Linked DNA regions of Drosophila melanogaster. The protein of the gene in region 2 interacts with the protein of the main gene of each other region in a pairwise test. Each region holds a gene or a part of one and is shown on either strand. Other genes may lie near its edges.

Region 1 (3,217 bases), on a different chromosome or scaffold from region 2:
ACACGCAACTTGCAATCAAAGTGATAAACAATGTGCCGCGAGCTGGCCACATAGACCTCGAAGGGTCAGGGGGGTATCAGGGCTAAGGGGGTGCGAACTGCGTAAACAAAGCTCAAGGATTGCGTCCTGGAACGTGGCGAAGTGTCGATGAACCAAAGTGGGCGCACAAACAGGCCAGAGTTGGGCACACCCTTGGAGGGCACTCTGTCATATGGGAGCTGTCTAATGAAAATGGTGGCCTGATTTAACCTTAAACGAATTCATTCTTCTCATCATATAATAGTTTAAAGTGCTCTGGTGACCATTGCAAATGTTAAAAATTAAAGCTTGCAGCACTCGTTAATAATTCAAATGAAATCCCTTATCTTGAACTTATAATTCTATGTAATACCACAAACTAAAGCTATATATATATACTTCCCATCCAGGTATCTATTGCAATAAGACGGCGCTTCCCAAGAGCAACCTGCACTATCTGTTTCCTTTGAAGAAAAGTCCCGATGCCCACGGCAAGATTAAAATTAAACGGAAGGAATAAAACTCGATTCACTTCTCAGTCGGTCAGTGCGTGGGCCTGATGCATTGCGTTTTAATTTCTGTTTGCCTGCGAGCATGTATCTCCATCTCTGTTTGTATCTGTATCTTTCGCCGTGGCAGTGACGACGTCCGGTGGACACGTGCGGCAGCCTTGCGGAATCCCTTTGCCATCCTGGGACATCTTACTTCTTGAGGATGGTGGCCACAGGGGCGGCGGCATAAACGGCTGGCAGGGCGGCGCTGTGGGCCACACTGTGGGCACTGTAGCTACTGGCATAGGGGGCCACGTAGGGGGCGTAGGCAGGGGTGTAGGCGGCGGTGTAGGCGAGGGGTGCGGCAGCGGGCAGGGAGCTGTACGCCAGTGGAGTGGAGTAGGCCAGAGGGGCATTGTAGGCCAGCAGACCAGGATTGGCAGCAGCGGCGGCGAACAGGGCGCACAGGACAACGGCAAACTGCAGGATAAAATGCATACAAAAAGTACATTAAAATACACATTTACAAGAAGTTTTATAAATATAAAAAATTGTTTGAAAAATCTACACTGTTTGATAATAGTTTTATTTCGAACACACGCGTTTTTGTTTGTATTTAGGATTGTGAATTGTTGCATTTTTGAAACATTGTATCCTTAAAAAAATGTTGGAAACTTACGAATTTCATCATTTTAATTGATTTGGTTGTGTTAGCGTCGAAGTTAGACTTCTGATTGATGTCTTGTGCTGAGTTCGAAGTGGTTTATATAGGTAAATATACATAGCATCCTTGACAAAGCCCATTGAAAAAGCAAAAACCCAGCAAGTTTAAAGCATTTCCATCACGTACCAGGGCTAAAACAGGGCCAAACATTTGGTCTCTTTTTACTGGCACAATTATAATGTTGCAGATTTGTGTTTGTCGATATGCCTGCGAATAGTACGCATTCCTTGTGAATTTATTATTGAAAATGAATGTTTTTTCCCGCTCATCTTGAGCATTTCCGCAACTGGCGTCAGCAGCTGTCGTTTGCCGATTGAATTATCATAATTTAGCACTCAGTGCGTTTTGTGGGCTGTGAACGTGCGTGTCATTCCAACCGTCTTGGCCATCTCCGGAGTTCGGCTCACTCTGTACGTTTCAATTGTCAGCCACTCGAACACGCCACTTTGCATTCTAATCAGAGATGCAAGTAAAAATAGAAGCGGTTTATCCAGTTTCGAAGGACGTCATCGAGTTGAGCCCTTGGCTTAAGGTTGAGGACACCAGAAACAGGGAATCGAAAGCTTTGCATAAATGGAATCGCGAGTTCAATAAACCGGAGGTCTCGTTGACCCTATTAATCCAATGCAAACATGGACATTCCACCACGAAGAACACAACCTCCTTTACACTTCCTTTTTTTTTAACAAATAATAGGTTTTAAGTCCAAAAAATAATTTCCAATGTATCAAAGCAATTTATTGATACAAAGCTTAAAAAAGTCATTGATTCCTTCCAGCCCACCAAAATTAAAAAATGTAGGGGCTAGCAATTTATGAAACTAGTGTGAGAAATATTTACTGAAAATATGATATCACCTACTTTATAAATAATATTTCCATTGGATTTTAATGTATACCAAATTTAGTACTTAGTACCCATTGCAAAAGAGTACTGCCTAAAAGTATGTGATTATACATACTCCCTTCACATTAGAGATGAATAAGTGATGCAATAAATTATGAACAAGTGGTATACGTTTTACGCAAAATGCAGTATTTATTTCAACAAAAATATTCCCTTTCTTGAAGTGGTATGTCCTGTTCCCATGACTTAACTTTCAGCAGTCGGCAGAGGTGGGGAAATGTAGAGTCTGTCGAACTAACACCAGGGATGTAAGAAGATTGGATGTTGCAGGTGGTTAGCAGGAAGGTGTGTATCCTTGTTGCAATAGATGTGTATATGTTTATATTCAGGTCCAGTTCAGCAGTCAGGTTAAGATCACGATCCATTCATCCAGTCTTAACGGTAGTAGGCGGCATAGGGGTAGGCGGAGTAGGCGGACGCATAGGGGTACGTGTAGGCGGAGTAGGCGGCGGCCACTGGAGCGGTGTATGCCGCGGTGTAGGCAGCCGAGTAAGGAGCAGCTGCCACATAGGGAGCGGAGTAGGCGCTGTAGGCCAGAGGAGAAGCGAGCACCGCCGGCTTGGCAGAGACGCAGGCCACGATGGCGAACAGGCACAGAGCGAACTGAAAGGATAGGAAAAGTGCTTATGAGTAATCCGTTGTTTGGTGGCAAGTCCAGCTATCCTGCGATCCTTACGTATTTGAACATGTTGGCTGTTTGGGTTGGTTGTGAACTGTTGGTTCTCAAGTACTAGACTGATATCTCCTAGTGCCCGAGTACTCGGGTATATATAGCAGAATCGGTCGAGAAAATTCCATTCCAATTCCCCACATTGAAGCGAAGGTGATGCGTGGCCATTGGTATGCACATCCATTCCCAGATCGGTTCCAAGTCCATTTTGAAGCCAGCCAAGGAGAATCTTGAGCATTATGGCTTTGCACTTTTGGTTTCGTTTGGTATTTTTAAAAGCGTGACGAAAAGCGAAAAACAAATCGAATGTGAGTCCGTGTTTTGCATACTAAAACGTAGCTGGATATTGATCCATCCATCGGCAAGTCTGGAAATGACCCACAAAAACTGCCGGGTTGGGTTCAGAAA
Region 2 (3,180 bases):
ATTAGCAGTCTGGCGCAGCTATTGCTCGATCCGCATTTCCGTACTATCGATGGCTTCCAATCGCTGGTGCAGAAGGAGTGGGTGGCCCTGGAGCATCCGTTTCAGCGACGCCTGGGTCATGTCTATCCTGCCCAGCCGGCCGGCGGTAATGCCGAACTATTCGACAGCGAACAGAGTCCAGTGTTTCTGCTCTTCCTCGATTGCGTGTGGCAGCTGTTGCAGCAGTTCCCCGACGAGTTCGAGTTCACGCAGACATACCTGACCACGCTGTGGGACTCGTGCTTCATGCCCATCTTCGATACCTTCCAGTTCGATACGCAGGCCCAGCGACTGAAGGCGGTGACCGACTCGCAGCTCGTCCTGCGTCCCGTTTGGGATTGGGGCGAGCAGTTCTCGGACAAGGACAAAATGTTCTTTAGCAATCCGCTGTACCAGCGCCAAAGGGGCGATCTTGGCGCCCAGGCGGCTGCCGTGGCGCATCGCAGATCCCTGGCGGTGGGTAGTAAGGGAGCGCATGGCGCCGCTAGTGGTGTCACACCCTCGCGCAACACCATCAATCCGCAGCTCTTTGCGACCGCTTCGTCAGTGCCGCAGGATCGTTACCTGCAGCCGGCACATCGCATCTTCGATCTGCAGGTGTGGGATCAGTGCTACTACCGCTGGCTGCCCATTTTGGATATACGCGGCGGCGGCCAGCCGCAGGTGGATCTCTATCATCGCCTGCTGCTGAGCAACATAGCAAAGGTACAGCGCTGCCTGGATTATCAAAACTTTGACGATCTACCCGATGCGTATTACGAGTTCGCCGGCGAATCGCGTCCCAATCAGCACAAGGACGAGAAGCCCGACAAGGAGGACGAGGCCGAGTTCGTCGACGGTGTGGAGCGGCGCAGGAAGCCGACGGCGAAGGCCGCCACACCCACTAGCGGACTCACATCGGTTACCGGCAATCTGCAGCTATCGACCCTGTCGTCGTTCTTTCCCTTCGGGAATCCCATCGCCGGAGATGCACCGCTCCAGCTGTACGACATTCTGAGCAGCAGCAGCGAGCTGCTGATGGAGACCTCATCCTTTCTGGACAAGTCGTCCATTGTCTGATCCGCACACAAATCGGAGACACCACCACACACACACTCGTTCCACTTGTTTATTCAAAACGCTGAACTTTCGAAGTATTACACAAAAAACAGAATATAATTTGAGAAGAAGAAGAAAAAACACACACACACACACACACACAGAGGTGCAATTTCCTCACATATACATGGCATATCGCTTTTAACACTTTTGATTATTGTTAACTAATAAGCAAGTTATGGTATAAGTTTTTTTTTATTTCGTTTTACTACCACCAAACTGCATTGCATCGCTGCATTATAAAATTAAACGTAAATAATACGATTAACAAACGTAACGACAAGCAATTGATGTAAAACGAATTCAAAACACAAATCCGCAAAAACGAAAACGTACGAAAACACCAATTAAATCAATATGTATTATATTGTATGTAACTAAATATATGAAAGACTATTGATCGATATGTATATTTAAATAAATCAAATGTGTAAAATCAACAAAATGTGTTCTGATTGCGGCAACTTTTGAGAATTAAACGAATTAGGAACTATGAATATATATGGGTGAGTCAGCAAAAAAAATCGCATTAATATGTAAGCTTATGATTTTAAATTGAAGTGGATAGTTGGATAATTGAAAAGATAAAATAATTGACTAACAGTTTGGCTTTCGAAACGATTTGTGTTTGCTATTCTGAATAATTTTGGGTTCTTAATGTAACTCAATAAAAAGTTTAAGATTTTATAATTTAAAAAAAAGGAGCCATATAAGGGTTAACATAATTACAAGCTTCGATAAATAACTGTTTAATTCCCGATTTTTATTTATGATTTCATTTTATAGTTCGCTTGGACTTTCAGTTATAATCATAGCACATAGAAGTTATAATGAATTTATAAATATGCTATTATTATAATTTATTATTGGCACGAGAAACTAGATTAAACACTCAGCGAAATGGGTAATACAAATACGTTCAAGGACATAAAGGATTACACAATGAAAATCATTATAATTACAGAACGGAATCATGAATCTCAAAATAAGAAGCTATCAACAAGAAATGATAAATATTTGGACTTAAAGCATGAAATAATGGAAGTTAAAGTTGAGAATCTGGCAAACAACCGCATTTTAAAAGCAGAAAAGGATGCAAAGACTGCAGATAAACTCGACAATTCAGAATATTTAAAGATTAATCAGAAAATGCTTCTAAATGAGAACCAAGATATTGAGATGGAAAATCAGGTACCAAAGGATCTGGAAAAGCAAACTGATGAGTATCCCAATGAAGAGCAGTACGTCGGGAATCAGTTGCCACTTAGAAATCCCGCTCAATCGACTCCAACTCGTCCAAGTCGCGTGATTCCACCAATGCCATCGGAGGAAACGATGCGCCACTCCATAGCCGACAACCTGATGGAGATCCTGGTGAATATGACTAATCCGCAGCATCGACAACAGTGCTTTTCCCTCTTGCAGGTGGACGATGCTCTGCAGGCACGCAGTCGAATCCTATGCCTCCTGCAGCAAATCGACGAGAGGCGCAGGACGCGCAACTGAATTCATCCTATAGAATGCTTGCTTACATTATAATGGTACTTTTACAAAGCCTGCTATATCTTAATCACAATCATAAATGAGCGCCTGCGATTATATGCCATTGGCTGCCATTTAAATCACACGGAACAACGCACACCATTGTCGTTATGAGTTAAACATTTAATAATAAAAACGTTGCGTGACTAACAGATTTAGGAAGGGAATTTGATCTTTGGGCGCTCTTTTTGAATCATCACTTAGCCTTGTCGTCCTGCTGCTTAGCCTCCTCCGCTTTCAGCAGCTCCGAAATGATGCCCGCCTTCTTGAGCTCCTCGATGAGATCGCCGCTCTGGTGCATCTGCAGCAGGATGTCGCAACCGCCGACAAATTCGCCATTGATGAACACCTGCGGAATGGTCGGCCAGTCGGTGTAGTCCTTGACACCTGCACGCAAGCAATAAGGTTTAACGCTGGCACGCTAATGCATATGTGGAGCGTACTCACCCTGTCGCAGGGACTCGTTTTGCAGCACATCGTGGGCATCGTACTGGACACCGT
Region 3 (3,145 bases), 4.0 Mb from region 2:
CCGCTGGTCAGCTTGGATATGTCCACGGCTGGATGTCCGGTGGACAGGAGCTTTGCCCGCGACATTTTCCTCAAGACTGTGATAGCGGTGGCCGAGGAAGAGCATTACTTTTACCTGTACAGGATTAGCTACATGTGGTACGCTGCTTTGGGCTTCCTGATAACCTTCTTTGGCGGATGGCTGTTGTCCTGGCTGTTTGCCCTGCTGAAATGGGACAACAATCGACGCATCTACCAGGATGCGGACTGCACGCTAATCAAGCACGATCTCTTCGTGCCGCCGATAGCCAAACGTTTGCAACGGCGACAAATGCCGCTCCTGGTGGTCACCGGCACCAGTTCGGAGATTGGCGGCATCACGACAGAGAGCGCTACGGCGCCGCCGCGGCTGGACGAGATCGAGTGGGAGAAACACAAGGCAGTGGCGTAACTGAACACATCACCTTAGTAGTTTTTTCTTTTGTTTTTTTTTTGTAGCGCCGTTTTGACCTTAGTTACTCTCCATTAGCTATCACTGCAAGAAATAATAACTTTGCTGTACAATAATACGGTTTAGTTTATTTGCATTTCTATACGAGTCTAAAAATGAGGCAAACTATTATTTGAAAGAATTGCTGCTGGAATTACAATGCTCCTTATAATGTTCTAAAGAAAGTCAGGTCGGAGAATATCATATAGTTGCCATAGTATGTATATCTGCATGGGTCATCCCACTTCGTTCTCCGTGGAGCGTACTACTAGCCTTTTTCTCTTGTCACACAAAATATATATATATATATATATGTATATATATATTAAGTGAACTTTGGCTTTAAATAAACGAGCTTACTCATTAAGCAACTAAATTAACGCTCATCGATGGCCTGATTGGGCTGCTCCTCCGGTCCTTTGGCATTGTAAACATTGCGATTCTGGGACAGATGCCATAGGGCTAGCAGGCGGGCCAGCTCCGTGTAGGTTAGCTTGCGCAGATCACGTCGATCGGCCAGCTTAACTCCGGCGGCCTCTAGCTCCTCCACCAATGTGACGGCATCGTATTCATCCTCCGGATTCTGCTCATTGCGTGGCGCAATTTTTCCGACGAACTCCGACTCTGGCACCGCTTCGCTCTTCACCATGCGCTGCATCTGCTGCACATGCTGCTGTTTATGCTGACGTTGCTGACCCAATGGCTCGTCGACATCTTTTAGCTCCTGTTCGGGATTCATGGGCAGCGAATTGGCCAGGCTGACCATGCCGAGGATCACCAGGAAGATGACCGGAATATTGTTGCACCCAATGGGTTTCATGTTTACGTCCGACTGCTAGTAGCTTTGCTGTGGCACTGCTGCCCGCCTGTCGCATGTCGATCGATCGTGGCCTGGACTCGACTCTCGGGGTGCGCTCCAATTTCTATCTGCCTTCCAACCCGCTCGTACGCTCGCTCGGCTCCCTATCGCTCACTCGAACGCCCCGTGTGGCAGTGCTGGCTGGCGAAGACATTCGCTTTCTTCTTCCAGCATTTGGCTATTATTTTTTTTGGTTACTTTCGAATGCCATGGATTTTGGCAAACAATGGTGCCATTAAACTGCAAGTAAGGCGGGGATATAGATTCTTTTACTTCTAAAACTATATAAATTTGTAATAGATGAGCAGTGAGTGTTTTTAAAATGTATATTTTATTGTATGTTATGCAAAAAATGTTCCATTTAATTCAATACGCTGGAAACGAAGCGCAGCACTGTCGTTTGGGGGGCTGCTTTTGATTGAAAAGTCAGTGTGTAGGGTCGGTTAAATTATTTTATCTGCATATGCAGCACATACACTATACTATACACTATACAACATCGACCCCTGGTACATATGTTATTTAATTGTCTGGCTGGTGCCTTTTGTATTTTGTATTTTGTATGTAGTAGATCCCGCATTTCGTCGTTTTTTATTGTGTATTTTTGTTGGCTACGTTTTTTTTTTATTTTTTCTGTCCGCCTCCAATTCAATTTATCTGCGCAGTTTGTGCTCACTCGGTTCGCCGTCTTCTATTTTCTGCATGTTGGTTTGGCCTAATCTTATCAGCTCTTATTCATAGCCAATTGAACGAGTTGTAATGGTCGAGAGTTTTTAATAATTTCTAGTAGATATGGGTTAATGGACGACGCGCCCCGCGTTAATCAGTCGCAATGTTTCCTTGTGTACCGAACCAATCGGTCAGGCAATCTTAGGTCTAAGAACTTTGTTTGATTGGTCAAAATGTGAATGATATTATTCTACATTTACATGTTCATATTTCACACAAACAATTATTGCTCTATTTGCAACAATTCTAATGGAATACAGTTGAAAAGCAACTAGAGATACCTCGTCTAGAGTTTTAAATTCTTATCGGTAATTGGGCTTATTTAATTACTCACTGCTACAATTACTTTGCCTGCCTTCAGGCGTTGCTAAAAGCTTTTTTTTATAAACAAATTGCAATAGCATAGTCTAACTTGTAGTGCATGCCGAATTAGTGTCAACAAAGAAATTATTGTTAAATATATTGCGCTATTATGTGTTGAATTATAACGATTTGACAAATACACGTAACGACGTTCTTGAGTGACAATGGAAATTGAAAAAAAGTCGAGATTGTCAAGTTGCATGTAACGTGCGACGAAGTAAGTATTGATAAATGTAAATTCTAAATGGAAAATCGCAATTGTCAGTCTTATTTGCATTTTCCTAATGGTTTCACATCTGGCATGCGAGCAACCTACATACATATGTATGTGCTATGCTATATATACATACATATGTATATAAAGTGTTTATAAAATAAATGTACGTGCGAATGGAATGGCCAAAACATTCCACTGACTGATCGTTGTTAGCTTTTATTAGACTGCAAACACGTGCGCCAGCCCGCTTTGGTTAGTTAGTCATTTTTGGTTGAGAATGAAAAGAAGAAAAAAAAAAAACCCAGAACTGTCAGCAGCGTTGATAACCGTGTTGTGGGCCAAACACAACTGACTGACTCACTGTATAGGATAGCTCCATAGCCAGCTATGGGAGGTACCCTATCAAGGGCACCCAATAGCAGCAACCAATCCACTTGACTCTCTTTTGTGTGCATCTCCTGATGTCATCGACCAATAATGCGTTGGATCGTTTCCCTTCTTATCGCTAG
Region 4 (2,874 bases), on a different chromosome or scaffold from region 2:
GGGGATAAACCATCGGCTTAACCCGATCGAACAATGAAATGGTCCAAATTGAAAAATAAATGCATACACAAAAGCAACAATCGTAGTTATGACTTGGTAACTTGGCACCTTAAAAACAAGTGAAATCATTTGGATCGAATTGTTAGTCAAACAAAGAAATTCAATATTCGGTTTCATCTTGGAAAAGAAGAAGAAGGCTACACTATATACTCTAATGAAGAATCCTAAGTAAATCATTTTCCGATCTAGTTAGTTGATCAAGTGGAACTGGTCTAAGTGCAGACATAATTCCAGATGATAACTTAATCGATTAGGAACTTGCAAATGAAAGTGAAAAATAGGAGTTTGTTCTAAGTTTTCTTTTAGTGAGAATTCATTCTTTATGTACAATATGCCATCTTAATCTTTATTTAAGCTTAGAGGTTATTTAAATATGGCTTTCTGTTCAAAAGGCTTAACAATACATATTCATCTATTTAATAAACAATGTACCGTGTTTGCACACATGCTAACAATACGTTCAGCCAGCCAATCCAAAAAAAAACCGTTTTGTTTAATTACTAACGAATTAGAACTTTCCACAGCCATCAACAGCTTTCGCGCTTACAGAGAAGATAGTCTCGTCTTTTTATTGAGTTTAATCTATTTGTCTTGACGAGAACGTAAAATGTACTCTAAAACATTCAAAGCAAACACAGATTCGACAATTAAAGCGAATCAAGTGGATCATCCCTATAAATACTCGGATTTAAACCACTATCCACACAGTACTCCATTTAGTGACAAACTGAGCTGAAGATGCGTTGCCAATTCGTTATCGCCTTTGGGCTTTTGGCCCTAATAGCAACTGCCTACGCCGATTCTCCACCTGCGGCAGGATCCCCACCCGCGTCATCTCCACCGGCTGGAACCCCAACCTCGCCACCTCCAGCGACTGGAACACCGCCCTCACCATCCCCAGCGACTGGAACACCACCTTCAGCATCCCCAGCTGCTGGTACACCGACCTCGCCAACTCCAGCGACTGGAACACCGTCCTCGCCAGCTACTCCTGATGCGCCCGCTTCCTCGACATCACCAGCTACGCCCACATCGCCCAGTGACAGTGGATCCAGCAGCAGCCAGGAAGTGATTAGGCTCAGGCGTCGGCTGCGCCGGCTGAGGCGTCAGCTCCGCCGCGAGAGGCGTCAGGCCAACCAGAGTAATCAGAATGGAGGTGGTGGTCAGGGGCGAGTGGTTCGCCGTGTACACCGTCACCGTCGTCTATTGTAAAATTCACGAACATGTTGGCTACGAATTTGAAATAAAATTCCAGACAGAAATGCAATAAATCTAAAAAAAACATAAATGTATTGAATGGCTTTTTAAATTAGAGGAACCATCGCTCTTTTTGTAATGCATACATTAGTAAACTAACTTATATTTGCCCAACAAACTTTCTAAACATTGCAATGAATATTTCGAATAGAAGCGTTCTAAACATTGAAATAAATATTCTGATTAGGAAGTTCGTTGCACATATTTAATTCAAAATGACCGCGAAACGGTGCTGCCAGATGTCTGAATTTCGTGCACTGCGGAGCGGATCTTCTTTCTACTAAGGCAGGAAGGGTCATACTAACACCTCCACTTCTCACCAAAACAAAGGTTACCCCGAAATTTAATCAAAATAAATCGAAATGCCGGTGGATTGGTTCGGATATGTGTACGCAGCCACGGTCGCCGCCGGAGGAATCATGGGATACGCCAAGGCGGGTAAGTGACCAGCCCCCTGACCGTGGTCATGTCCGATTGTGCAACGCCCTGCATTCCAGGTTCCATTCCCTCGCTGGGTGCTGGTCTGGCCTTCGGAGCCCTGCTCGGCTATGGCGCCCACCTCAACTCCCAGGACACGCCTCGTCCCCTGCTCCAGTTGGGCACCTCCCTGTTCCTGGCCGGGCTGATGGGCGCCCGCTGGAACCGATCCGGAAAACTGATGCCCGCCGGAATGGTGTGCATGCTATCCGTGGCCGCCTTGGTCAAGAACCTGGCCACCTATAATCGCTACCTAATGCCCGCCGGCACAAAGGCCCCTTAGGCTAATTTCCGGCCACATGCTGGACTTGCCAGGAGATTGCCCTACCTTCATTCTTCATTCGTATTGAATAGGTTTTCTACTTTTCGGTGATTGGAACTTTGGTAATGCGCTGTGTCACTTTCTAAGATAGTGATTAGGAACTGTACTTGCTGCAAATATATTTTATCACCTATGCTTTTAACTTGTGGACTTCTTTGTACTCAATTGTAATACTTGGTCACATTTAATAGCATACTTTCAGGCACTTTGGTATGACAGTTCGCATAGAAGCACAGAAATACACCATTTCGTACATTCAAATCTTTTTTTGTATATTTATTGTTTAACTTAGCTTTTGTTTCTTTTGTGTGTGTGATAAATTTACAGTTTCATCTATTATACGATGTTCAGTTAACTACAACTAAAACTTAGCTATTACATTTTGTTGCTGCATGAAAAGAGCATTAGGCTAGGTAAACGTAGAGTGATGGATTTTTTTTTTTTTTTAGAATTTAGGCTTCTAACAAGTTTATTACAATAATGAAGTGAATAATTTGAGTTTTCTGCAGGCAAAGTGCGGCAAGGTAAGTATATTATCGATTCTCCACCTTTCTAGCATTTTCCCAACAGGAAACGATAAATATTTGTTAAGTAGAGTGTACAAATTATATATGTTTATCACATTGGAAAGTGGGATTATTATTAAATTTCCTTTCGATTGATTTGTGGCTCAAGAAATAATTTAGGTTGTCTGCCGAAAGTGCGTGCATGTGTAGATGAAGTTTTTACAGAATTATATGTACTATTTTACAAAATTG

Evidence for each region.
Region 1: the proteins of CG14410 (region 2) and CG13066 interact in a two-hybrid assay, tested with the Drosophila melanogaster proteins (one large-scale study listed by BioGRID).
Region 3: the proteins of CG14410 (region 2) and CG15209 interact in a two-hybrid assay, tested with the Drosophila melanogaster proteins (one large-scale study listed by BioGRID).
Region 4: the proteins of CG14410 (region 2) and CG5532 interact in a two-hybrid assay, tested with the Drosophila melanogaster proteins (one large-scale study listed by BioGRID).

The regions. Positions count from the first base shown.
Region 1 is NT_037436.4:16,270,950-16,274,166, reverse strand, and holds CG13066 (uncharacterized protein), read right to left. Parts: upstream 1,259-3,217; 5' UTR 1,201-1,258; coding exon 1,189-1,200; intron 990-1,188; coding exon 720-989; 3' UTR 559-719; downstream 1-558. Other genes in the region: CG13067 (uncharacterized protein), read right to left, coding at 2,515-2,742, 2,816-2,827.
Region 2 is NC_004354.4:14,834,688-14,837,867, forward strand, and holds CG14410 (uncharacterized protein), read left to right. Parts: upstream 1-2,037; coding exon 2,038-2,643; downstream 2,644-3,180. Other genes in the region: CG14411 (uncharacterized protein), read left to right, coding at 1-1,098; Grx5 (glutaredoxin 5), read right to left, coding at 2,876-3,066, 3,127-3,180.
Region 3 is NC_004354.4:10,840,389-10,843,533, reverse strand, and holds CG15209 (uncharacterized protein), read right to left. Parts: upstream 1,330-3,145; 5' UTR 1,289-1,329; coding exon 845-1,288; 3' UTR 539-844; downstream 1-538. Other genes in the region: CG32669 (uncharacterized protein), read left to right, coding at 1-429.
Region 4 is NT_033778.4:23,751,151-23,754,024, forward strand, and holds CG5532 (uncharacterized protein), read left to right. Parts: upstream 1-1,603; 5' UTR 1,604-1,679; coding exon 1,680-1,755; intron 1,756-1,814; coding exon 1,815-2,077; 3' UTR 2,078-2,365; downstream 2,366-2,874. Other genes in the region: CG12491 (uncharacterized protein), read left to right, coding at 1-8; CG11300 (uncharacterized protein), read left to right, coding at 799-1,272.